Coturnix japonica: one gene and its partners. The protein of the gene in region 3 interacts with the protein of the main gene of each other region in a pairwise test. Links are inferred from orthologs where the notes say so. Each region holds a gene or a part of one and is shown on either strand. Other genes may lie near its edges.

Region 1 (8,188 bases), on a different chromosome or scaffold from region 3:
ACCCACAAGTTCTACTTTGTTCTTTCAAATTCTCTCCCTCATCCCATTGGGAAGCGGGGGGAGTAAGTCAATGTCTGTGAGGTGCTGAGCCACCTGCTGGGTCAAACCACAACAACTGGAAAGTTCATTTTCCCTGCAGAAGGCAAAAGAACCACAGTCAATAAGTAAGTCAGCAGCTATCTGTCAAAATGGATTTCAGAGGGGGGAAAACTCCCCACAGCTACAAATGCAAGTATTATTTATACTGAACCATGCCCACACTGTTAGAATACACCACGAGAGCTTACTGCTCTACAGACAGTGATGCCTAATTCAGCTCCTCTCATTTCCAACTGGACAGACACACAGCACAAGCTGCAGGATATGATGTATCAGCACTGAGCAGACATGCTGAGCCATCCAGCAAGTAACAGGTACTGCACAGCGGTTATTTGCCAGACAAAGTGGGATTTTAATAGGTGATTTGGAAAGGAAACATTTGCTTGGTAGTCTCTGAATTCCTACGAAGCTTTATTATGTCCATGTGAAGATCCAACATAAACATTTTTGTAAGGCATTCAGATACAATGCACAACAGATCCATAAGCACACAAACATATCTGCATATACGCCCCCAGTAATGTTGATGAGAATAGCTTCACCTTTAACATTTTAAAGGCATTAGAATAGTTAAGAAGCAAAAGGCAATTCTGAAGGCAGTGCTGAAAAAAGTGCATTTCATACTCCTTTGCTGTAAGGCAGGACACCTTGTGAGTTTTAAGGCTTCAGTCTTAATTAGAAGAAGCAATGACAGCTTGGTAATGGACTACTTGTAAAATAACCCTGCAATGGACTTACCCTAATTTTTAGTTAGCATAAAAGCAGGATCTAGCATGGAAGCAGAACTATTTTATTGATTCATTAGGATCTGCATGTTAGGTAAGCTTCATTTATTCACACAAAAGGCTGAGAGATCTCCTCCGGAACAGACAAGTAATAAAGACAAGAAAGAGGCTGCACAGCATGCAGTCCCAGTCAACCTGTTCTCAAAAGATAGCTGACTTTAAAAGTGTTTAAAAGCTTTAAAAGAGAAAAAAAAAAAAAACCTTCTTTCAATTAAAAATATGGACAGCTTCGTGCTGGATGAAGGGTGCGATTAAAGCTGTATGAACATAAGGGAGTTCACAGTAAGCTCTTAAAAAGACCAGAAAGCCTCTGGAAGAAATTAGGATCTATGTGGTCTGGCGATGCATCAGCTTTCACTTACAGTTACTTCAGTCTGGTTACAAACAAGTTTTAAACCCAACAAAAGAACTACAACAGGAGAAAATGATGATGTGGAGAAGGGGAGTAAGAACAAAAACGCATTAGAGGACGGACCATTGATAAGTGAAACAGCAATTAGGCATCCCCTGAATGAGGTAGCATAGATTACAGTTGTTTTTTTCTTTTCCCTTATAACTTGGAGCCTCCAAATGTGTAAAGGCATCTTAAATCAAATCCATAAACATAGACCATATGAGGAGCTACTTGTGTTGGAATTGAAATGTGATCAGCATCAGAGCATGGGGGGGATTCTTAGTTTTGCTTTGGTTTTGCATGTGCAGCAGGTGGCAATGTCAGGGGAACGATCCTGATAACATCGCTATGCCAGCGGAAAACTCAGTATAGGTCTATTACACAGACACAGAGAACATCTGCTGACGCAGCTCATTTCCTGTGTCAGTAAAACAAGGTACCCAGACAGAAGCACACTCACATTGTGACAAGCTAAATGCATTGACTAAGAAGGCTCACTGATAGCAGCCAGCCAATCTCCCCACGCCTCCCCCCAAAATGCCTACCAGAAAACTCATGGCACATTTGGGTTTTGAAGTGTTGCATCAGAACAGCTCACCACATGCTGGTCCTTATTGAACAAACAACACTGAAAAGTAGTTAAGCATTAGAGAACCTGCAAGGAAATATGAAGACACTCTTTACTGTGGAATGAAGGGAAAACTGCCAGGCAAATGCAACACCCACCACCCAACCCAAAGCAAAGCAACTCCACCTTTCCACAGACTAGCAGGCAAACATTAGCTTAGAACATAATATTCAAAGGATCACAGAATTATTTGAGTTGGAAGGGACCTTTAAAGATCATCTAGTCCAACCCCTCTGTAACAAAGCAGGGAAACCTACAGCTCAATCAGATGCTGAGTCCCATCCAGCCTGACCTTGAATGCCTCTAGGGACAAGGCAACCTGCGCCAGAACCTCACTGCCCTATAAAAAATATCCAACAAATTTATAACCTCTCAGTTGCTTCATTGACTGATTTGGTTTGCTTTACTGTAATGACATTGTCCAGAGATTCTTAACAAAATACTGGGAATCCAAAACAACATCACTGCTTGCTTCCTTCAAACAAAAAGGAAAAGGCAAATACTGAGCTGAGTTACCACAAGGAACCATTAAAAACAACAACAACCACCAAAACACTGTGAATTGGGTGGGGGACTCGCAGAATAAGAAAATGTAACTTAGAACCTTCTCTTTTCGCAGATTATTTGATCTTAGAGTTGCACTGAAATAGAGGTACACAGCCACCTCTGACTAGTTTTAGGATAACCCAAGAAAGATCCTACCTACAAGCTAGTAATAAGAAAGGAACAGCTTACTCCTCACTCCCAGGGCCTCATCCAACCTGGCCTTGACCACCACTAAGGGATGGGCTGATTAAAACATAGAGCTTAGAGATCAAAAGGGGCAGACATCCAGGCAAGCCTGCGCCACCACAACAACCTGATGGACACAGCAGCTGCTGGCAGCACATCAGAGCATCCTGGTCCAGCCCAACCTGCACCCACAGAGCAGGCAGCATCTCTCGTTGCCAAGCCAGGAGCCAACAGCCACTTGTACTGTTACATGCAAAAGAGAGCGCGGTCAGTATGAAAACACATGACAGGTTTAGCCTATGAACTTTGTGAATATAAATCCTGACCCTGAAAACGTTTACATGCAGGCTTAGCGCTAAGCCTAAGAACAGGCCCACTAATTCCAAAAGAAATACTTGGATGCTTAGAATTAAACATATGTAAGTACACAGATCTGTAGAATTGGGGACAGAAAAAAGCACACACCACAATTTGATGGGTTTTTATTGCTCTGTGGATACCACAGTGTAGCAAGTACATCATTCATGATATTTACAAGAATTTTCATCTGCAACATGCCCTGCAGCTCCTCAGCAAACGCCACTGACCTAATAAAACAATTAAGAACCACAAGACTTGACGGTGCCATGTTAAGTTGTTTCTGCAGACCAAACCAACTGAGAATTTTCCAGTCCCGGAGACAGGCCACAGCTGCATCTGATCAGTCACCAGGCGCCTCTTACACCAGGGAGCATCTTAGCACAGCACGAGTGCTGCTTTCTTACCCATTGCAGACCATAATATCTCACGGCTTTTTAAGCAAGCAGCATCGGGCTGATTTATGACACCAATTTGTATTAATCCAATATCTAATATATATCATACGCTTAAACACTTCACTTTTAAAGTGATATCACTGGTTACCACATCTCCTTAACAGTAGCTTTCAGCTACATCAAGCCATTCATTTTAAGAGCACAGGAAAAAGTGAGATTTTAAAAAGAGGGGGGATATTTTCCAGTGTTATAGCTGGAAGCCAACAAACCTCTACTGCTTTCAGTGAGACAAGCGCACAAACAGACCCCCAGTTTGAGGCTCAGAGGCCACGCAGTGCGGGTAAAGGCTCATGGCAATGCCAGGTTTTACTGAGGTCACCAAGGCTCCTGTGAGAGCAAATGCCCAATGTACACAAAAACCAGCAGTATCAAAGCCAGCATTTATGCGTAATAGGTTTTCATAGGCTTCATTTTTAAATGAACCTCACTGTCTCAAGAGAGCAGAACTTTTCACCCAGGAAGCTGCGGGCATTTCTCTTGCAAAGTCCACTGTTAAGCTGCAGCTTAATATTAAATGATGCTTTGGTTAATGAAAGATGTAAGCCTGCCTTAGGCAATAATGTTGATTTAACCATTGTAGACCCAAGTCCAAGGCCCTGGATTATCTCTTGCTGAAGTCACAGACCAGAACTAGAAGCCAGGACAGTTACAAGTTCATTATAGAAAGCTCTCATTAAAGAAAAAAATGTGCATTTTATAGGCACTTATTCCAAGATTTTAGAATTTCAATAATACAAGCACTTAAAAGCATGATATTTTTCTTTAATATAAAGAACTTCAAAAGCCAACAAAACCTTAGTTGAGCACAACTGCAATCCTTACAATTCCCTGCATTTGGAGTCAACCATATAGAACTGGCTTCAGGAAAGAGGGGATTCCTCACTTTAGAAGTCAATGCAAGAAGGTCCCAGTCGGTTTTGTTGTTCCCAAAGGTGTGCTCACAAACCTTGTCTCTGGAGGGATGGTAATGAAGTCACGGCAGCATATGGCACCGCCGTGTTTGCTCCCAAGTGCACAGCCGCTAACCGGAGCCATCTGATGCTCCCCCTAAGCTCCCTGATCTGCGGTGGGATTGAAGCTTACAGCAAAGCTTCGTGGAGCCCAAAGGAAGACAATGGTTTGCAGACACACAGAAATCACTCATTTACTTTAACGGGGGCCCAGCTCGGATCTGGGTCTCTGCTGAGCAAAAGCTCTGATGCGTTTACGAGCAGGAGTGCATTTCCAGAGAGCATCAAACACGACCCAAAGCCGATCCGTGTCATTTTCCCGTCGCACACAGAGAGCAACGAGATCACGTAATTAAAATAGGAATTAAACGAAGCTCGGGCGTACTTAATGGTGGATTCCTACAGCAGGAAACAACCAACGCCCCGCACCGGGAGCGTGGTCACAGGAGCCCCATGGGGCCGAGCAGCCTGTCAGTGCCATAGCACTCCCTACCCGCTCGGCTGAGCACCAACACACAGCGAGGAGCAGTAACACGGCACGCCTCGGGAAAGTTCACAAGGCGCCGCACTGCAAGTTTTCCAACCGCACCTTCGGTTTAAACGAGAGGGGAGAGAAAAGAGCAGCCTGGCATCGATGTGTGCGCTCCGGCGCTGCCCACAACTCTCCCTGCCCTCCGCCCTCCCCAGGCAGCGGTAACGCGACTCCGGAGTCACGGCTCCAGCACAACTCCCCGAAGCGGCCCGGCGCTGCTCTCCCCCTCCCGCACTTGTTGCGGCCCCGCAGGCCCCGCCGCAGGCCCGGCCCTGTCCCGGGGGAGGCCCCCGCCCCGCGGAGCGCAACGAGGGGCCGGGCCGCCCCCAGGGGACCGAGCGCGTTGCGGGGCACGGACTTACCACGGCGGCACCCGGCTCCTCACGGCGGCAGCCGAACTCCGGGCGGCCACTCGGCGCGGCGCCTCCCTCCCCACCGCCCGGCCCCGCTCCCCGCCTCCCCCGGGGCAGCGTAAGTGACGCCGCGCTCCGCCACTCCGGCGGCAGCCCCGGGGCGCGGGGCCGGGCGCGGGGCCGGCTCAGCCTATGGCGGAGCGGCCGAGGCGGGACGCACCGCAGCCCCGGGCCGGGAGGGACCCTCCGCCCTACGGAGCGCAACCCGGGGCGGGGCGGGGCGGGGCGGGGCGGGGTGGGCAGCGCTGCCGCCAGGGCTCCATCCCCGCCCCGCCCGGCACCGCCCCCTCCCCGCCGGATCCGGAGCTGCGCCTGCTCGCTCCGCCTCGAGGAGCTGGGCTGAGAGCGGCTATGGCGTCTGTGTCAGCGTGAGGAGCCGGGCTGTAGTCTGCCATGGAGGAGGATCTGGAGTTGGAGAGGTGAGGGGCGGCCGTACTGTGCTGCGGGTTCTCCTTCGCTCTGGGCTGCGCTTGTAGGGCCAGTGAGGCCTTGGGGCTGGTCCTGTGTCGGCTCCCGGCCTGTAGGGCCTGGCTTGTGCGGCCTGTGCTCGGCCCTGAGCCCTCAGCCCATTGCTACGCATCTCTGCGTAATGCGGACCGCTCTTGTAATGTCATTTATACGCGAGAGATTTAAAAGTCGTATAAATGGGTGGTTAAAGTTATTTGGTTAACGCGTAGAGGCTGAACTTTTTGCAAGCAGCTGCATGGAACTGTTACAGCGAAGTGATGGCTGAGAATCTCATGGTTCCGTCTCATAACTTTTAAGAAATGTGTTTGAGAGTGCTGATGGGAAGGCCTGCTAAAAAGGACCTGGGGGTACTGCTGGATCACAGGCTAAACATGAGCAGCAATGTGCCCTGGCAATCTAGAAGGCCAACCTGTGCTGCATCCAAAGCAACATGGCCAGCTGGCCAAGGGAGTGATCCTGCCCCTCTGCTCTGTGCTGGTGAGGTCTCACCTGAAGTACTGGAGAGACATGGAGCTGTTGGAGCACATCCAGAGGAGGGCCACAGAATGACCCAGGGGATGGAATGCCTTCCTACAAGGACAGGCTGAGAGAGCTGGGGCTGTTCAGCCTGGAGAAGAGAAGGCTCCAGGATGACCTGAGAATGGCCTTTCAGTATGTGAAGGGGGTCTATAAGAAAGAAGGGGACAGATGCTTTAACAGAGTCTGTTGCAGTAGGACAGGGGGATATGGTTTCAAAGCAAGAGAGTGGAGACATAGATTGGATGTAAGGAAGAAGTTCCTTTACAATCATTGTGGTGAGGCACTGGCACAGGTTACCCTGGGAGGTGGTGGATGCTCTGTCCCTGGAAGCTCTCAAGGCCAGGCTTGACAGGGCTCTGATCTAGCTCTAGATATCCCTGTTCATTTCAGTGGGTTGGAGCAGGTGACCTTAAGGGATCCCTTCTAGTGGAAGTGATTCTCTGTTAAGTCACTTCTTTCAGCTTAGATCTACCACATCTTTGAAATGAGATACGTATGATGCCACTGGGGTGGTGGGGGGGATAGAGAATGTAATGCTTTCCAAGAAGCCTTAATTCTTGGTAGGGCACTTCCTCACTCAGATCATCAGTTTAATTATTAAAGCTTCTTTCTATATAGACACAAATGCTCTTTTTGTTAGTGCCACTCCAAACCTAAGCACTTTTTGCTTGCAGCCAGTGCTTTGTGTTTCCACTTCTTAAAGGGAGCTTATAAGCAGGAGGGAGACTAAAAGTTTTACACAGGTAGTAGTAGGAAAATGGGGAGCGGTTTTAAACTAGAAGAGAGAAGTCTTAGGTCAGATATTAGGAGGAAATTCTTTACTTAGGGAGTGGCACGTCACTGGCACAGGCTGTCCAGAGGTACTGTGGGAACTATAACTATTTTTGTATGTGTTTTTTCAGGTCTGAAGTAAGTTTTGTTTCTTAACATTCCAGACTGGGATCTGCTAAGAGAAGCTACTTATCTATAGTTGTTTAGGAAGAGTCTTCATCCAGCTTGCCTTGTTTTTCCATGTCTGACTCATGCTTCATCTTGCATCTGATGCTTTCTTCACTTCATAGGAGTCTCTGTAGAAGGGGAATGCTCACCTGCAGGTTACAGTGCAACTCTTGCATAGTATGGATTTAAAAAATAAGGAGTAGTCTTAAAATCAGTGAAATATTACTGTTCACTGCATTTTACTGAGTTATTTCCCATTTCACCCAATAACCTTTGTTGGAAGCATAAGCTGGTGTTTTTTCCTCTGGTATGTCAGTGCAGATCCAGACTGTAAGCCAGAAATATCTTGTGATCCTAAGGAAATTCTGGGATTAATCCTGTTAGTGTATAATGATGATGTTAAGGTATACCCAATAGTCACTACTATAAACCTTATGGATCAGCTACCAGAGGCTGGTTGTTTCTGCTATAAGCATGTGTACTTGCTTTTGCTACTTAATTTCTACTGCATATCCCCATCTCTTCCTCCCCCACCTCCCCTTCTAAATGGTCTCTGTGCTTTGTGTCTTTGTTGGAAGCACAGGGAGAAAAAAAAAATGAGGTTTCTCTGACAGTGTAAAGGAAGAGATTTTATATTACCATGTATCAAAACTGTTCTATAGTCAGATCTGCCTCTCATTAGCTATAAATATTTCAGAATCTTATTAGAATTGCCTACCAAGCCTTCTTGGAGCATCATCTCGGTAGTAAGTGTTTCCTAAAGGGGATACTGTTCTAAATTCCAAGACCATTACTGGGTTTAGTAACAAGAAGCCTCTTGTTGAGTTGAGAATTCATAGCCATCTTGCTGCACAGATGTCCTAATTACACTCCTTAACAAGTAAGCTTTGCACCTTGGTAAAATTAATTGACAT
Region 2 (8,186 bases), on a different chromosome or scaffold from region 3:
TCTTGAGGCCAGGGATTTCCTTCTGCTTAGGCCCATTTGTAAAATCTATTGGTGAAAGGTTTGGTCTGAGCTCAGAGGGGCTCCAGTGTCAGAAACAGGAAGGGAGAGGTGAGGGAGAGCCAGATGAGGAGCTGCTGCATGGGGTCAGCACCAGTAGGAAGATGCAGGGAGAAGGCACCAGGGCAATGGGCTCATTCCAGTGGTATGAGTGTGCCATGGTCCCTGGTACTTCCTTGGCTCTGAGAGTGGGCACAGTGCCTCCCATTACAGGACTGGCAGTCCGGGGAGTGGGAAGGTTGCTGCGAATGCCTCCACCTCTTCCTTCAGTGCCTTTAGCTCTCCCCGGTATTTTTCCTCCTCTAGTTTCTCCTTGAATTCCTTCAGTGTTGCCTTAGGGCTCATGTCCTTCTGCACACGCAGCGTCAGCTCAATGCCTGCCAGGGTGGGAGATGTGTGGCTCAGCCCCATCAACAGGCAGGTGCCACGTCCAGCAGCTCTCTCAGCACTGCCATGGCTGCCATGGTTGGGGCTGCTCCCCACGACGCTTGGGAGAGGAGGAGCTGGGCTGACAAGGACTCACTGCCCTGTGCCACCACCACCTGCTTGAGGAAATGGGACCCTCACCTTTGTGGATGTACTGAGCCACCTTGCGGAAATCGTCCTGTCGAAAGCCCCGGGAGGTGAGAGCTGGTGTCCCGAAACGCAGACCACTGGGACGAAGGGCACTGACATCACCTGCAACAGAACAAGCCCTGTGTGACCTCACTGCATGGAAACATAGCCTGGACCCCAGGGGCTGGGAGTTCTGTGAGCTCTTCATGGCCCTGGGGGAGCACAGGGCACAAGAGACATCCAGGCAGATGGAGCAAGATATGGAGCCTGTGGGATGCCTACCAGGGCATGTGTTCTTGTTGCAGGCGATGGAGCAGAGTTCCAGCACCCGCTCGGCCCGGCCTCCATCAGTGCCTCTGCTGCGCAGGTCCAGGAGGATGAGGTGGTTGTCAGAGCCCCCTGCAGAGAGAGGGGAGTTGAGGTGAACACTTGAAACATCAGCAAAAGAAAAAAACTAGAAGGCTCAAGACTGTTGCCCCAGTGGTTGGCTCAGACCTGGGACACGAAGCCGGCCCCAACGCGGGCAGCTGAGGCTGCTCCTTACCTGTGACAATATCATAGCCCAGCTCCATCAGTGCTGCTGCCAGTGTCTTGCAGTTGGCCACCACCTGCTGCTGGTAAGCCTTGAACTCGGGAGTCATGGCCTGCTGCAGGGCCACAGCGATCCCTGGGGATGAAGCACAGCAGTGAGCTTTTGAGGACCAACAAAAGTTATCTTGAAAGCTAAGGAACCTCATGGACAGTCCCTTCCCCTAATCATGCATAGGAACAGCCTGATTTCTCCCTCAGCTGCATCAAATTGGCTGCTCTTTGCTGCTGTACCTCTCAGCTGGAGCACTCTGCCCTGATACTGGGGCTCAGAGCTGAGCCAGGATGTCTTTGTACCCTCCTCACCATCCCAGCCCAGTGCAGGTGTATACCTGCGATGGCATGGTTGTGTGGCCCTCCCTGCAGCCCAGGAAAGACCGCTTGGTTGATGAGGCTCTCCAGGTTGTAGAGTGTTTCCTTCCCTGTCTTGGGGTCTGTGCTGCGGGTGCCTGTGGGAGGAGAGAGCAGGGTAACATATAAGGCAGCTCAGGAAGGGAATTATGCTTGTTCTTCAAATCTGAGCCTTTGGGATGTCCCCAGTCTTTCTGCCCTTCCTATTTCCCAGCAGGAGCAGGAAGGAGCTTTAACCTGCAGCTCCCCTGGCCTGGATGGAGTGCTTCCATGGCTCAGATCAGGCACCTTTGCGATAGAAGATCATGCCGGCCCTGCAGCCCCTCAAGGTCTTGTGGGTGGTGGTGGAGACGACGTCGCAGTGTTCAAATGGTGAGGGCACAACACCAGCAGCCACCAGCCCGCTGATATGGGCCATGTCGGCCATCAGGTAGGCGCTGTTGGCGTCGGCAATCTGTCGCATGCGGGCATAGTCCAAGTTGCGTGAGTAGCAACTGACACCTGCAATAGGACAAGAGGGAATGGCCTCAAGTTGTGCCAGAGAGGTTCTGTTTGGATATCAGGAACATTTTCTTCTCTGAAGGAGTGGGCAGGCACTGACACTGCTGCCCATGGAGGTGGTGGACTTGACAACAGAGGTCTTTTCTATCCTTAATGATTGTGTGATCCTTGTGGGTCCATTCCAGCTTGGGTTGTTCAGTGATTCTGTTCTATAATTCTGCAGCATCCCACTGCAATTGCCCACTGGTTTCAGGATGCCATCCCAACTGGTGTGTAAGCGTCGTTCCTTACCTGCTATAATCAGCTTGGGGTGGAACAGACGGGCATTCTCCTCAAGTTGGTCATAGTCAATGTAACCAGTCTTGGGATTCACCTGGGAGAGGAAGAGGAAGGTTCAGTCACCTTGGCAGGGGTGAAGATCAGTTGCTGTCAAGAGGTTCTTTCACTTATGAAGGCCTGGCTCTCACTGGAGCAGCTTTCCATACCTTGTAGGGCATGGACTCAAAGAATACAGAGGTTGCAGAGATCTTCTTCTTGTCCGTCATGAACCCATGGGTCAGATGGCCCCCGTCAGGCAGGTCCAGCCCCATGATTCTGCCGTGGGGCTCCACCAGGGCCGTGTACACCGCAAAGTTAGCGGGTGACCCTGTGGCAGGAGCACACGAGGCAGTTCAGAGGTGCTGGGGCATGCAGAGGCCAGCACAGCCTGTGCTGCCTCCCCTGGGGATGCCGTTACCTGAGTAGGGCTGGACGTTGACACCCCACTTCTGGGGGTCAAGCCGGAATGCCTGCAGGGCTCGCTTCTGGCACAGCCGTTCCAGCTCATCTACAAACTCTGTCCCGCCATAGTACCTGCAGGTAAAGGATGGGGAAGGAGTTACATTGAGGTTGGTGTCTGCTGAGAACAAAACCTCAAGGTTAAAACTAATCTCTTCATTTAGCAATGTGTACCCAAGGCAGTGCCAGCTGTGAGACCAGGATGCTGCTGTTTGCAAGCAGCAGACATGACCCTGCTACAATTACCTGGTGCACGGCCAAGGACAGAAGCTGAGAGGGTCAGATCCTGTCCTGCAGGAGCTTGGTTGCCAGCACCAGGACATGGCTTCCTTCCCAGAGATGAGGTCTTGAGGTGAACATGACAATGCAGATGGTCCCTGCCCCCTCCCTACAAGAGTGTGTGTGTCTCAGGCTCTCCCCAGCCCCGTACCTCTGTCCAGGGTAGCCCTCAGAGTATTTATTGTTCAAGCAGGATCCCAGCGCCTCCAGGACTGCGCAGCTCGCAAAGTTCTCTGATGCAATCAGCTCCAGCCCCAGCCTCTGCCGCTGCTTCTCCTTCTTGATGATGTTGTACACCTTGAGGAGGGAGAGATAGCTTCACTTGTGCCAGCTCTTCACAGAGGTGTGGGTGCTGCATGGCATGGGATGCACTCTCAGAGGAGTCAGGATGGCAGAGAGCAGTCTGAAAGCCACTGGAGAAGGGAGGTGAGGCCCCTTCTTGGTACAGCTAATCACACGTCCTGCCACATCCTGAGTTTCTGTGGTAGATACCACAAAGCCATCAGGTAATTCAGCTCTTGCTTGGGCTGAACTGTGGCTGCAGAGTTCTGGGCCTGGTGCAGGTGTCAGAGCTCCAGGCAAAGAGTTATGAGCAACGGCTGAGAAATTACAGCCACAGCATGTGCATGTTGGTTGCAAGGCCCAGGGCTGGCTGAATCCCAGCAGCTTTAGCCTTGCTCTGTGCTCCTGGTTCAAGGAGGTTGGTGTCCCAACAGCTCTCACCTCAGGGTCATTCCTGTCGAGTGGCTCCAGCAGCATCTTATTGTGGGAGGCCCAGAGCTCTGCGCTGGGGAGGCTCCCAGCACCCTGTGCCATGTTCGCCATCTGTCCGCTGCCTCTGCTGCCACCTGCAAAAGGCACAGGGAGGGTGTTTATTGCAGCAACATGGCCATTTCCAGTGCCCTCCTGTTCTCCTCCAGCCTGGATATCACACAACCGAGGTGTGTGGCTTCCCTCTACCCCTCCCTCATCCTTACACTTGGGGAAGTGGGGAGCCCATAAGCACACATGCCAAACTCCAGCAGTACCATTTCATTGCACTCAGGCTTTAGACCTGATCTTGCTCTAAGCCCAAGGCAGCAGCAGCCCCTCAGCACCAAGCATTGCCAAACAGCACACAAACTCCTGAGCAGTCAGGGCAGCCCAGCTCCAGCCCTGGCTGCACACAAAGTGTCTTTTTATCCATTAACCCCGCAAGGCCGCAGAGGGGCCGTGAGCTGGTTGTTAAGCAATCCGCTCCGTTCAGCAACGCGGCCCCCGCTGTGCTCAAAGGCCCGGCTGTCCCGGGGCTTCACTGGCAGCGGGGAAACGCTGTGGGATATGCGTGCTGAACCGAAGGAGCGTTGTGAGGGGTGCTGTGCGAATGCACACTGCTGGCAAAGGGCTGCAGAGCACAAAGCTGCCACGGAGAGCCCCACTGCCACCCTCCTGGTGGGACGTGAGCGGGGGCACGGCCCTGGAGCTTCACCCGCTGTGTCCCACATGGCCCCATCGCATCCCATACCCAGGACCCGGTACCGCCCCGCTCCCACTCACTCTCCCCCTGCCCGCCCCGCATCGCTCCGCACCGATTCGGATCCCGGTCCCGGCCCGCTCAGCCGCCCCGCGGCAGCCCGCGCTCCTACAATAGGCTGCCGCGTCACACCCCTCCGACTCTCAACCAATCAGCGCCCGAACATTGAACTCCGCGACAACTCTTGGTCCAATCCGCGGCGCGCTCCGCCTCGTCCCGCTCCCCATGACCCGCGCTCAGGCGGGGCGGGCAGCGCTGCCGGCACCGGGATGACCTTGGCCGGCCAGGGGGGCTGCGCCGGGCACCCTAACACCAACCCCAACCCTAACCCTAACCCTAACCCTAACCCCAACCCTAACCCCAACCCTAACCCTAACCCCAGCCCCCCTCCCCAGCCGACATCCCCTGAGCCTTCCTGCCGGCCATGGCAGTTCTCCATCCCTGCTGGCGGGGCGATGCGCTGAGCACAGCGGGTGAGCTGTGCGTGGTACGGTGTGGGAGCCCTGCTGCTCTGCGGGGTGTCCTGGTACCTGGAGGAATGTTTCAGCCTCGGAAGGATGAGGCTTGCAGGCAGCAGCACTGTGTGCTTCACACACAAACACGAACTTGGGTTTGGTTGGCCTGACCCAAGAGACCACGGTCAGAGCTTCAGGGGTTAAATCAGAGTGCTGCAAATTGAGGAACAGAGTTAGGGAATCATCAGTCCCAGTAAATTCCTTGTGATCCCAAGTGATGGAAAAGCAGAGCGTGCTCCGTGAGTCACAGCGGTGAGGAGCAGCTCTCAGAGCAGTGGGGCTCTGCAGTGTGTGGGGCTGGAGCGGAGCAGTGCTGCGGTGAGTGCGGCCGGGTCCTGGTGCTGAGGGGTTGGTGTGTGGGTACAGGGGTGGCTGCTGCACCACAACTCCCCACCTCGGATGCTGCTCTGCCTGGGGTGTATGTGTCCTTAGTGCTTTTCTCCCAGGTAACAGTGGTAGGACAGAAGGTAATGGCTTTAAGTTGCATTAGGAGAGGTTCAGGGTGGATGCTAGGAACAATTCCTGATCCAAAAGCTGCCCAGGGAGTGATGGGGTCACTGTCCCTGGAGGTGTTCCAGGGCTGTGGAGATGTGGCACTGAGGGATGTGGTCAGTGGGCACGGTGGGGTTGGGCTGGGGTTGGCCTTGATCTTGAGAGATCTTTTCCAACCTTAATAATTCTATGATACTGTGATAGCTGTTGAAGGAGCCATCTTTTAACTTGATAATTCAGTTTTTAGCTCTGTTGATTTGCCTTCCATCACTAAATAGTTTGGCCACAGCTGTGCAGTTTGGCTCTTTGGAGTCCTGCTCTCAGCCCAGGGCTGGCTGCTGTCACAGGCTGCTCACAGATGAGTTGTTCTGACACTGCCAATGCCATCGGCAGAGCCTGGGCTGCTGTCTCGGGTCACAGGGTGACAGGGAGACAGGGCAGATGCCAACCCTCTGCCCACAGCCCCGTGGGCCCGCTGGTGTGGAAAGAGCTGCAAGCAAAACCATCTTTGATATCATTTATTTTCTGCTTCTCAGTGTCAGCGGGCTGCCTGTCAGTGCGGGTGACAATCTCTGTGGGCATCCAGGGACTTCCCAAGAGATGAGTAATTTGTTTCAGTCTTGGCAGGTCCCTGTTAAAGCCTGCAGCACTGGGACTGAGTTGTCCCCGTGGTGGCTGATCCTCTGCTCACGTGTCCCCTTCCTGCTGCCATCATCCTTTCACGACAAGATCAGATCAACTCAAAGATCAGATCAACTCAAAGATCAGATCAACTCAAAACTTTCAGACTGTCCCCCTCCCTCTGTGTTGGCTCACTCGGATCTTGCTCAAATAGCTTGAATTCCTCGTGCCTCACAAGTATTTATCTGCCATTCTGAAACTTTAGATGTTCTATAGAGAAGTGTGTTCATTATTGAGTCACTCTTAGTACTTATTTCATCATTGCATATCCATTTTGTGTACAGTCACAATCAAAGGTTCTCCCCAGAGCTCTGGGAGCTGCAGATAATCGCAGTGTGTGCTGTTATGGTTTCAGGAGCCCAGCTTGCTGGCAATGGAGAGCGTCTCTTCTTCCCCATCACCCTTCCCTGACAGCTCCCCCTCCATGCCCTCTGGGAATGCCACAGCCTACGACCACTACTCTGGCCTCCAGAAGAGCCTGCACATCCTCTCCATGGTGGTGTACAGCATTGCCTGTGTGCTGGGGGTGACGGGGAACGGCCTCGTCATCTGGATTGCAGGCTTCAAGATGAAGAAGACAGTGAACTCAGTGTGGTTCCTCAACCTGGCCATCGCTGACTTCATCTTCACCTTTTTCCTGCCCCTCAGCATCGCTTACACCGCTCTGGATTTCCACTGGCCCTTTGGGAAGCTGCTGTGCAAGTTGAACAGCACCATCGCCTTCCTCAACATGTTCGCCAGCGTCTTCCTCCTGATGGTCATCAGCGTGGATCGCTGCGTGGCCGTGGCCTTCCCCGTGTGGTCCCACAACCGCAGGAGCCCAGAGCTGGCAGCCAGGGTCGCTCTGGGGACGTGGGGCATGGCCGTCCTGCTCAGCTCCCCGTACCTCATTTTTCGTGACACCGCGGTCAGTTCCCGTAACATCACCAGCTGCTATAACAACTTTGCGCTGTCTGATGACTACACGGCCGAGGAGACACGGAGGCTGTGGAGGATGCGGCACAAAGCGATGATCATAACACGGTTCTTATGTGGGTTCCTCATCCCCTTCACAGTGATTCTCATCTGCTACAGCGTTGTTGCCGTCAAGCTGAAAAGAAGGCAGCTGGCCAGCTCTGTGAAGCCGTACAGAATTATCATTGCCGTCACAGTCTCATTCTTCCTCTGTTATTTCCCCTACCATGTCTTCTCCTTGCTAGAAATATCTCAAAACTCTTCCAGTCATGAGATGAAAATGGCCCTTTACATAGGAATCCCCTTGGTTTCCAGCCTCGCTTTCTTCAACAGCTGCATAAACCCCATCCTGTACGTCTTTGTGGGGCCAGATTTCAAGGAGAAGTTTTGCCAGTCCATCCTGTCGGCCTTCAAAGGGGCCTTCAGTGAGGAGTCAATGCTGGGCAGCCTGAGCAGCAGGAGGAAGTCCAGGTCTGCCTCGGAAGCAGAAGTCCCAAGGCTCTGAGTACCCACTCAGTACTGGGTGGGTTCAGTATGGGCACCACTGCAGGGCAGTTTTCTCCTCCTCTCCTTTCTTTCTTTCCTGATTTGTCACAACATCCCATTTTTAGTAGACGACCCTTTGTAAAGGTCACTAAGTCTGTGACTTTACTGACAGGGCTCCCTTTATTTTCCCTTCTCTCCGGCATCCTTCAGCCATGAGAAGCAGCCTCTGAGTTCAGTGGGGTCACCTTGTAGGTACCCGACTCTGCATCGCTACTGGGTTCATCCCCAGGCCATTCCTGAATGGCAAGTTAGCTGCTGCGAGGATGTGTTGTTCTCTGCATTTGCCAGGCTTTCCTGGCAGCCAGGCTTTGCTGGGATGCAAAAATTGTGGGGTTCCACCAGGGGGCAAAATTGGATGCAGGTGTGCTGGCAGTGTG
Region 3 (7,392 bases):
AGGCCCAATGGAAGCAAAAGTTCTTTTCCAAAGATAAGTCTGCAATCCTGGCTGATCATCGGCATCCTTCAAGGGGTCCTGTCAAGGCATCGAGGCTGCTGTCTGTATCTGAAGCCAATGTTTGCTCTGTTGACATGGATGAAATGTCATTGATAGATGATGACTGGGAAGGACTGGTGTTGCTATTCACTGCTGCATCTGTGCTAAGTAAACCAAACATAATAAAATCTGAGGCAAGACAATATCGCAAGCACAAATAACCACACTTCTACGTTCTGAGCACATCGTTTTCCTCAGAGAAATACTTAGAAAACAGACAAATCATTAAACAGTAGAAATGCACGCATTAAGCTTCTCAACACTTAAAACCTGCAGCACAACATTCCAATTGTTGAACCAAAAGAAAAGCAGCAAACATTAAGGATTCAACTACCGGCAAAAATACTTCATGCTATTAGCTGTCTTAAAATAAAAAGCTCTAATAGCGTTTGAATGTGGATGAAAGGTGCACATTCATTCGAAGCCAAGAAAAAGCATTCAGCATAAAATACATCTGCACAACAGCTGATGTAACATGGCATAAATGGTTTCAGATGAAGGAGCCTTCCATGGAGAAGACAGTTCAGTGTGTTGGATATCCAGCACTTAAGACTTGCTTTCATACAACTCATTTCATAACAGTGAAAAATTACTGCCCACGGATCTCCAAAGGCTGACCAGAATCTTTGTCTGTAACAACAGAACTTTCACCTACCTGTACTGAGTAGGACTTTTTTCATTCCTTTTAGTCCAACAGATCACTCTAAGCAGCATAACATAGAACTACTGAAACGATGACTAACCTGAGGGCTGATCTTTTACCACACCATTCTTGCTTCTTTCTTCCCAATCCATTACTTCTTTGTATATTAATTCTTATAAGGTAGGAGGAATAAGAGAAGAGACAGAAAAAACATTAAGATCACAAGGGATTTAAGCACTATTTATAAATGTGTAATGGTACAATTAAATAGTGACAGGTCCATCTGTAAGTACCACTATATGGGTCAGGACAGATTTAGGACACAGCACCTGAATAAAATATCACAGACTTCTAAATGTAACAAAGCTCCATTACTTGTTTCAGATCTCGATGGTATGGTACAAGCAGGATGGCTCACCCTCAACTCTTCTAGAGGAAAGGATTTACTACAGCGGATCATACATACATGCATGAATATTTCCTCCAAATAGCACATTTTTCCATTATCAATTTATTTTCACATCACCATAAGCAGTATTGCACATTTTGAATAAGATCCAGTCAGTTACACAATCCAGCACACGCGCAACAGGAACACACAGCTCACAGTACAAGTTACGTCATTGCTCATGCTCCCTTTTTACCTTTCCATTCTTCAATTGCATGTTCTCTCTCTTCCAGCTGTGCATCATAAATTTGAGGTGGAGGCTACAAAGAAAATTAAGTCTACACGTTACCTATTATGTTGCAGGCAAAACTAAAAATGGTGGCTTTCTCAGCCAATTGTTACCTCCCTCTGGCAGTCTATTCCCTACATCTCCAATTTACATTCATTTCACATCTCCAGGCTTTAGATTCTACCTCCCACCAAAATGCTGCTTAAAAGCATCAACTGAAAATGAACATTTGTAAGGTCTGGCAGGGCCTCAGATGAAGCCCACTACCCAAAATAAAGAACATCACCACCCTGCAGGCAACACTTTCCACAAAGGGAGCTACCAATAATCACTTTCAAAACAGCATCAATTCCACTCCACCGACAGTTCTTCAGGTGGTTCCACCTCAAACATGAACCTGAATGCTTACGTGCATCTCACTAACCAAAACACGAGTTCAAAGCACGCACTTGGATCCAAACTAAAGTTATTCTTAAAACTGTTGAACTGATATCTTAAAATTTATTTTAAATGCAAACTTACAGCTTCTGCTTCAGCTGGATCATACCAGACAGTAATATAAGGGTGACGTAAGGCCTCATCAACGGAAATTCTCTTGTCTGGATCTACTACAAGCATTTTTGATAATAAATCTCTAGCTTGACTGGCTAGAAAGTAAACATCTGACAAAGCATACACAAACAGATCTCTTGAGCTTCAGTGCCTCCCAACAAGTTCCATTTGTTGGTGACATGCGAATACTTAACTTCTAATCCCGCAGAGTTAAATAGGTCTCACTGAGCACTGTTTTTAAGTCAGCAGAGTAGGACTGGAGCTGCACGTCTCGCTCAGTACCCAGCAGCATTAGGCTGCACTGCCAGGACAGGCACAGCGACGGCAGATTTCTTTCAAAAGGAGGTCACAGTCCTCTAATGTCAATGTTATTTTACTGTAATCCAAAACATAAACCCTGCAGCTGACATAAACCAATCTCAATTCTGAACAGCTACGCTGATGCACAGGTCACAGTTTGTCATCAACTACTGCTCATAAGCCACATTTTGAAGTGCATAGTAAATGGCAGCGCCATTTGACTGGCAGTTCTTTTTTTTGTCTGAACTAAAAATGCTGTATAATAAAATAAGTTGCTGTAGCCTATTTTGTATAAAACCTCGTGTCTGCCCATAGAACTGATTTTTTCAACTTCTTGGTCATTTATCTAAAGCAGCTGACATGAATTACATTCCCATATGAACCAGAAAAACATAAATAACTCTAACAAGTGCTACTTTCAGAAACATTTCAGCCACAAACATTATTCAAGACATTCAAATGAAGTGAATTAAAGAGAACAGTGAAATATCTCCGTATTTCTGAGCTAATATTAATAAAAATCAGAATCTGTCATATGTGAAAAAAACCAGCAGGTATGGAGCTTATGTCAACACCCACCGCAATACAGATATTCTAAATTAGTTGTTGTTTTGTTTAATTAAATGTATTGCAAACATTTTAAATTAACACCTTCAGAAGAAGAAAAAAAAAATCTGTCTTACTTTTTAACTTGTCACGGTCAGATTCTGATGGAAATATCCAGTCTGGGAAGAGCTCTTCAAATTTAATACCTGGATATTTTGGCCTGTTTTCTACATAATTCCTCACTGTAGGCTGTAATTTCTTCATAAATTCTGCTGAGGGCGTTCCTAGTTGTTCAATTACTTTATTCCATTGATCAATATCTGCACCACATCTTTAGGAAAATCAGCTGCAGAATTTGAAGTCTGCGCTACACAAAAACATCACTTGCAGAAATCTGAAAAGCTGAAAGCCTGAACTAATAATAAAACAAGAACTCCAATCTAACATCAACAACATTCTAGAACTGCTGTGGAAAAAGCTACGCTGGCAAAAATCTAAAATATCAGTTTTGTAGGATAGGGACAGACCAGAAATGGTGCACAACTCATCAGGATTAAATATCTGCAGTGAATTGGTACCTACTGGCCAGTTCTGAAAACATGGCTTTGGAAGAGTCGAAACGAAGGTTTGTTCTTTAATTACACCCATAACATAACAACTATGGGGACAGAAAAGAAAGAAACACAAAGGCTGCTAGTGAATGACCTGACGTACATCTAACTGTACCAGATGTAAAAATACATAAAAGAATACATAAAAGAATACATAAAACGTGGTATTTCTTTTACATATTTCTACAGTATCAACAATGCTAATACAGTAAGTTTATTCAGTTCAACACTTCCCATTTTTCCTGATGAGGAATGTGCAGTTCTAGCAGTCTAACCACAAACCTTCCAAACGTATCTGAACTCAGAATCTTTTCTTTCAAACTATTGATTCTTACACCAGTTTCTTAACAAGACACATCCACTGCACTTTGAATTGTAGTTAACACACACTACAGTTTAAGAAGCACTTACTTTTGTTAGCATGCCAAAAATACATCCAGAAATATCCTTCCTGCTAAAGCTTTAGACTTCAGATGCAAAGATTGAAAACAGTATCTGCTTATTCAATACATTCCAGTGGAAACACAATATTAAAATAAGAATTAAGAAGTCAGTATTATTAACTCTCATGCTGAAACAGAGCACATACAAAGCAAGTTTTGACACATGCCAGGAAATTTTGTTGGAAAAGTAATTTGTGCAAGAAGTCCACCAATCCAGATTCAAGAAGGGGTTGATGATTAGAGTGGCAGCTAGCCAAATTCAAGGGCATTCTATGGTGGTTTGAAGGTGGGGGACCTATTTCACTTCAGTAATAAAAATGTGGGGAAAAAAACCTGACAAAATATTTTCTCCAGCATAGGTTGGATATGAAATAAGCAATGTCCATAATCAGAAACTCAATCAGGAGAAAACCTTAATGCTGATGCAAAGCATGCAGCGTCCCTCCAATAACCTTGCAGTCTGCAGACAAAATTACCCTTTCTGTTCAACTAATGACCCCAATCTCAAAAGTAACCCAGAATCGTTCAGTCCATAGCAGAGTGCCTGTCTGCTTTGCGAGACTCTGGGAGAAAATGTTGAAAACAGAGTCCTTATTATAATCAATTAATAATAAAGCATGACTTTTCCCAAGAAATCATGACTATGCTCTCATGCTTTTTCCATCAGTCAGGCAGTTTCCTTTACCTCCTGCACAGAAGAGCACTGAAAACATTCTCTAGTGCCTCTAGGCTTTCCATTACTTCATCTCCAGTATCTACGCTGGGTGTTTTTTCTACGTTTTTCATCTCTAGTTCAACAGCAACTGCCAGCTTCTCAGCTCAGGCTATGGCCAGGAGCAGGTTCAGCCCATCCTCCACCCTGACGGTGCAGAGCATCTCAGCCCAAGCAGGGCTCTGTTGCAACACTCCAAGAAATCCCTGCTGACCATACAGCAACGTACAAACAACTGGATCCGAGAGCAGTTTCTCCTGAAGACAACCACAGGCACATCATTAGGCTTGGTTCCCTGATCAAAATACCAGAACGCTAAGACATATCAAAACTTAATTAAAAAACGGAAAATCCCAAGGCCGTGTGTAGCAGCATCCATCCCCCTTAACCCCTGTAGTCAAAACAGACTTGTGGCTGCAGCTAGAAGAAAATGACAATTATTCCAGACCAAACTGATAACTGCATAAGCCAACATGACTTATCTGTCAGTATCACACATTAAAGGGAACTGAAAGACTCAGAAGGAAAAAACCCTAAGCACAGTTATGCATTTTGATAAGATAGAGGGGCAGACTCTTTGAAATATGGACTGGTGGAGCTTCAGCGACCTCCAGTGAGCTACAAATGGTAACTTGCATATATGAGTACAAACAAAATTTCCCTCCTTTTTCATGAACAAACCAAAACAGCCCATGCTGACATGCAGATGAAGGACACATAACATATATGAAGAATTGTGTTAGGTTGGTCTGAAGGCTTTAAAAGGTAAAACAATATAGAAAGGAAGAAAGGTAGAAAACAGACTTATTTAACAATCATTTATGCAACTAACTGATAAACGATCAACTGCTGAAGATTAATTAGTGTCATGAAACTTTGAATTTAAAATAGCCTCTACAAGACATATAGCTATGAAAAGATCATAGGAGCACATACTTGGTATTCTAAGTGGTGGGCCCAGCTTCTCCTTGCTGACAAGCAGAAATATTATACAATGTATTATTTCAAAAGCTTGGACCACACGTCCTTTGGTTTTGGGTGCCTTACAGCCCAGTTTAATTGTATCTTCTGCATTCTATTTACTTACTGACCAATTTGGAATATCTTGCCCTGGAACACTACTAATATGCAAGACTATTTTTTATAAAGGATGAAATTGGTTTAAACCCAAGTTTTCCTTTAACTGGAGCTTGATAATGAGTTTTTAATCATTTTTCTAGGAAATTCTTTTAAACACATACAATTATTTGAAGAATATGTATTTGATTAAATGTTCATTTCTATCCACCTCACAAAGTGCAAATGCTCCTCTCTGATCCAGTAATACGTTGTTGAGATTTCCCAAGTCTAAGGGCACGAGGGCATAAAGATTTTTACTTCTAATACAGAAAGGTGCTCACAGTTTCTATCACGTAACAAAATACAACTCTGTGAAGATGAACTTGGGTCAAAAATACTGGAGGGAAAAGGGAAAGAAGGATAATCTTATAGAAAAAGTAAGTCCAAAATAAAGTTTTCATAAAATGATAACAAAAATTTTAAGAAATTGTTTTTCTATTAAATAATAATAGTAAGAAAAAGAGATTTCATGCAGTGTACTTGCAATTAGCACTCATTGGACAGCAGCATCCTAACGAGTGAGAAAAAAACCTGGTTGAAACTGAAAAAACTCGTACATTAAAAAATAAGTTGAACCAAATAGGAAGCCAAACCCATGCACAGTAAAAGCTAACTTAGTAGATTTCTGCTTCTAATACTTATCTACTAAGAACAACAGTAAGAAAAAACAGGTAATGCTTTGGGTTTTTTTTTCCCTTAACCTACCAGCATTCTATTAAAGATAGAAAAGCTTAAGCTGTTAGTATAAATTCTACAGATTCAATCAGTACAGATTACAATAAATATAGTCTGCTAAGAAAATAAAATAGGAAGCTCAACAATTTGGTCAATGACACTAATTCCATAGCTTACAGCAGATCTACTAAAACATGGTTGAGAACAGTGCTTTAAGCTTTTATACAGATCAAAGTATGTTCCTGGTGGAAGTGGTTCAAGGATGACTAGGGAAGGATACGATCAGTGCCTTGGAATATCACACAACCTTTCACCAATTCTCCCATGATGCAACCAACTGACCAGATATCAACTGAAAGTAAAAATGAAATGATCAAATTATGAAGTATCATGAACAAAAGTGAGGAAAACAAACAAACAAACAAAATGAAGACATCTAGCATCTACGGTAAAATACAACAACGTGGAAAACCAAACTGCTAACAAGAATCTTCAATCATTTCAACGCCAACTAATTAAACTGTTGCTACATTTTGTTTTCAGCACTTTGCAAAATATTATCAGCATTTACACTTCTGAAACGACCGTGCAGAAGGATACAATCTCTTCCTGGGAACAGGACTTTATGGAGGACCATTTCTGCCATAATGCACCCAACAGACCAGATATCCACTATCATATGTTAGGTGTAACAAGGACAAAAGATTAAAGAGGTTTTTTAAGTATAACAATTATTAATTTGTAAATTCACACTCTTTATCTATAGTCGTGCAGATAAGTATTTTTGTCCCATCCAGAACTGCCTCCATAGACGTTCTCATCCACGTGAGCACTTGCAGTAGAACAACTGCCACGTGCATCAGTGTACATTTTTCAGTGGCTCAGCAAGGTCCTGCAAGTCCCTTGTATCACACAGCTAAAGTATCCCCAAGCCCCAGTGAATAACCGAAAAGATGTACTAGGTTAGAAGACCAGAGGAGGCAGAATGTTACTTCACAGCCAGTAAATACCAGCA

Evidence for each region.
Region 1: the proteins of MAPK9 (region 3) and LNX2 interact in binary tests that used the Homo sapiens proteins (3 or more experiments, as listed by UniProt). The link is inferred for Coturnix japonica from reciprocal best matches to the Homo sapiens genes MAPK9 and LNX2.
Region 2: the proteins of MAPK9 (region 3) and SHMT1 interact in binary tests that used the Homo sapiens proteins (3 or more experiments, as listed by UniProt). The two-hybrid records come from large-scale screens. The link is inferred for Coturnix japonica from reciprocal best matches to the Homo sapiens genes MAPK9 and SHMT1.

The regions. Positions count from the first base shown.
Region 1 is NC_029516.1:157,557,354-157,565,541, reverse strand, and holds the start of LNX2 (ligand of Numb protein X 2), read right to left. Parts: upstream 5,421-8,188; 5' UTR 5,298-5,420; intron 1-5,297. Other genes in the region: protein POLR1D, read left to right, coding at 5,742-5,767.
Region 2 is NC_029529.1:5,126,586-5,134,771, forward strand, and holds the start of SHMT1 (serine hydroxymethyltransferase, cytosolic), read right to left. Parts: upstream 4,775-8,186; 5' UTR 4,677-4,774; intron 3,957-4,676; 5' UTR 3,934-3,956; coding exon 3,832-3,933; intron 3,406-3,831; coding exon 3,260-3,405; intron 2,905-3,259; coding exon 2,789-2,904; intron 2,699-2,788; coding exon 2,538-2,698; intron 2,426-2,537; coding exon 2,344-2,425; intron 2,053-2,343; coding exon 1,840-2,052; intron 1,650-1,839; coding exon 1,533-1,649; intron 1,280-1,532; coding exon 1,157-1,279; intron 1,012-1,156; coding exon 895-1,011; intron 736-894; coding exon 625-735; intron 435-624; coding exon 265-434; 3' UTR 1-264. Other genes in the region: chemokine-like receptor 1, read left to right, coding at 6,683-7,768. UniProt on the Homo sapiens protein: Interconversion of serine and glycine.
Region 3 is NC_029528.1:4,141,221-4,148,612, forward strand, and holds part of MAPK9 (mitogen-activated protein kinase 9), read right to left. Parts: intron 7,050-7,392; coding exon 6,978-7,049; intron 6,730-6,977; coding exon of another isoform or gene 6,658-6,729; intron 3,138-6,657; coding exon 2,955-3,137; intron 2,067-2,954; coding exon 1,942-2,066; intron 1,451-1,941; coding exon 1,387-1,450; intron 915-1,386; coding exon 843-914; intron 204-842; coding exon of another isoform or gene 199-203; coding exon 56-198; 3' UTR 1-55. UniProt on the Homo sapiens protein: Serine/threonine-protein kinase involved in various processes such as cell proliferation, differentiation, migration, transformation and programmed cell death.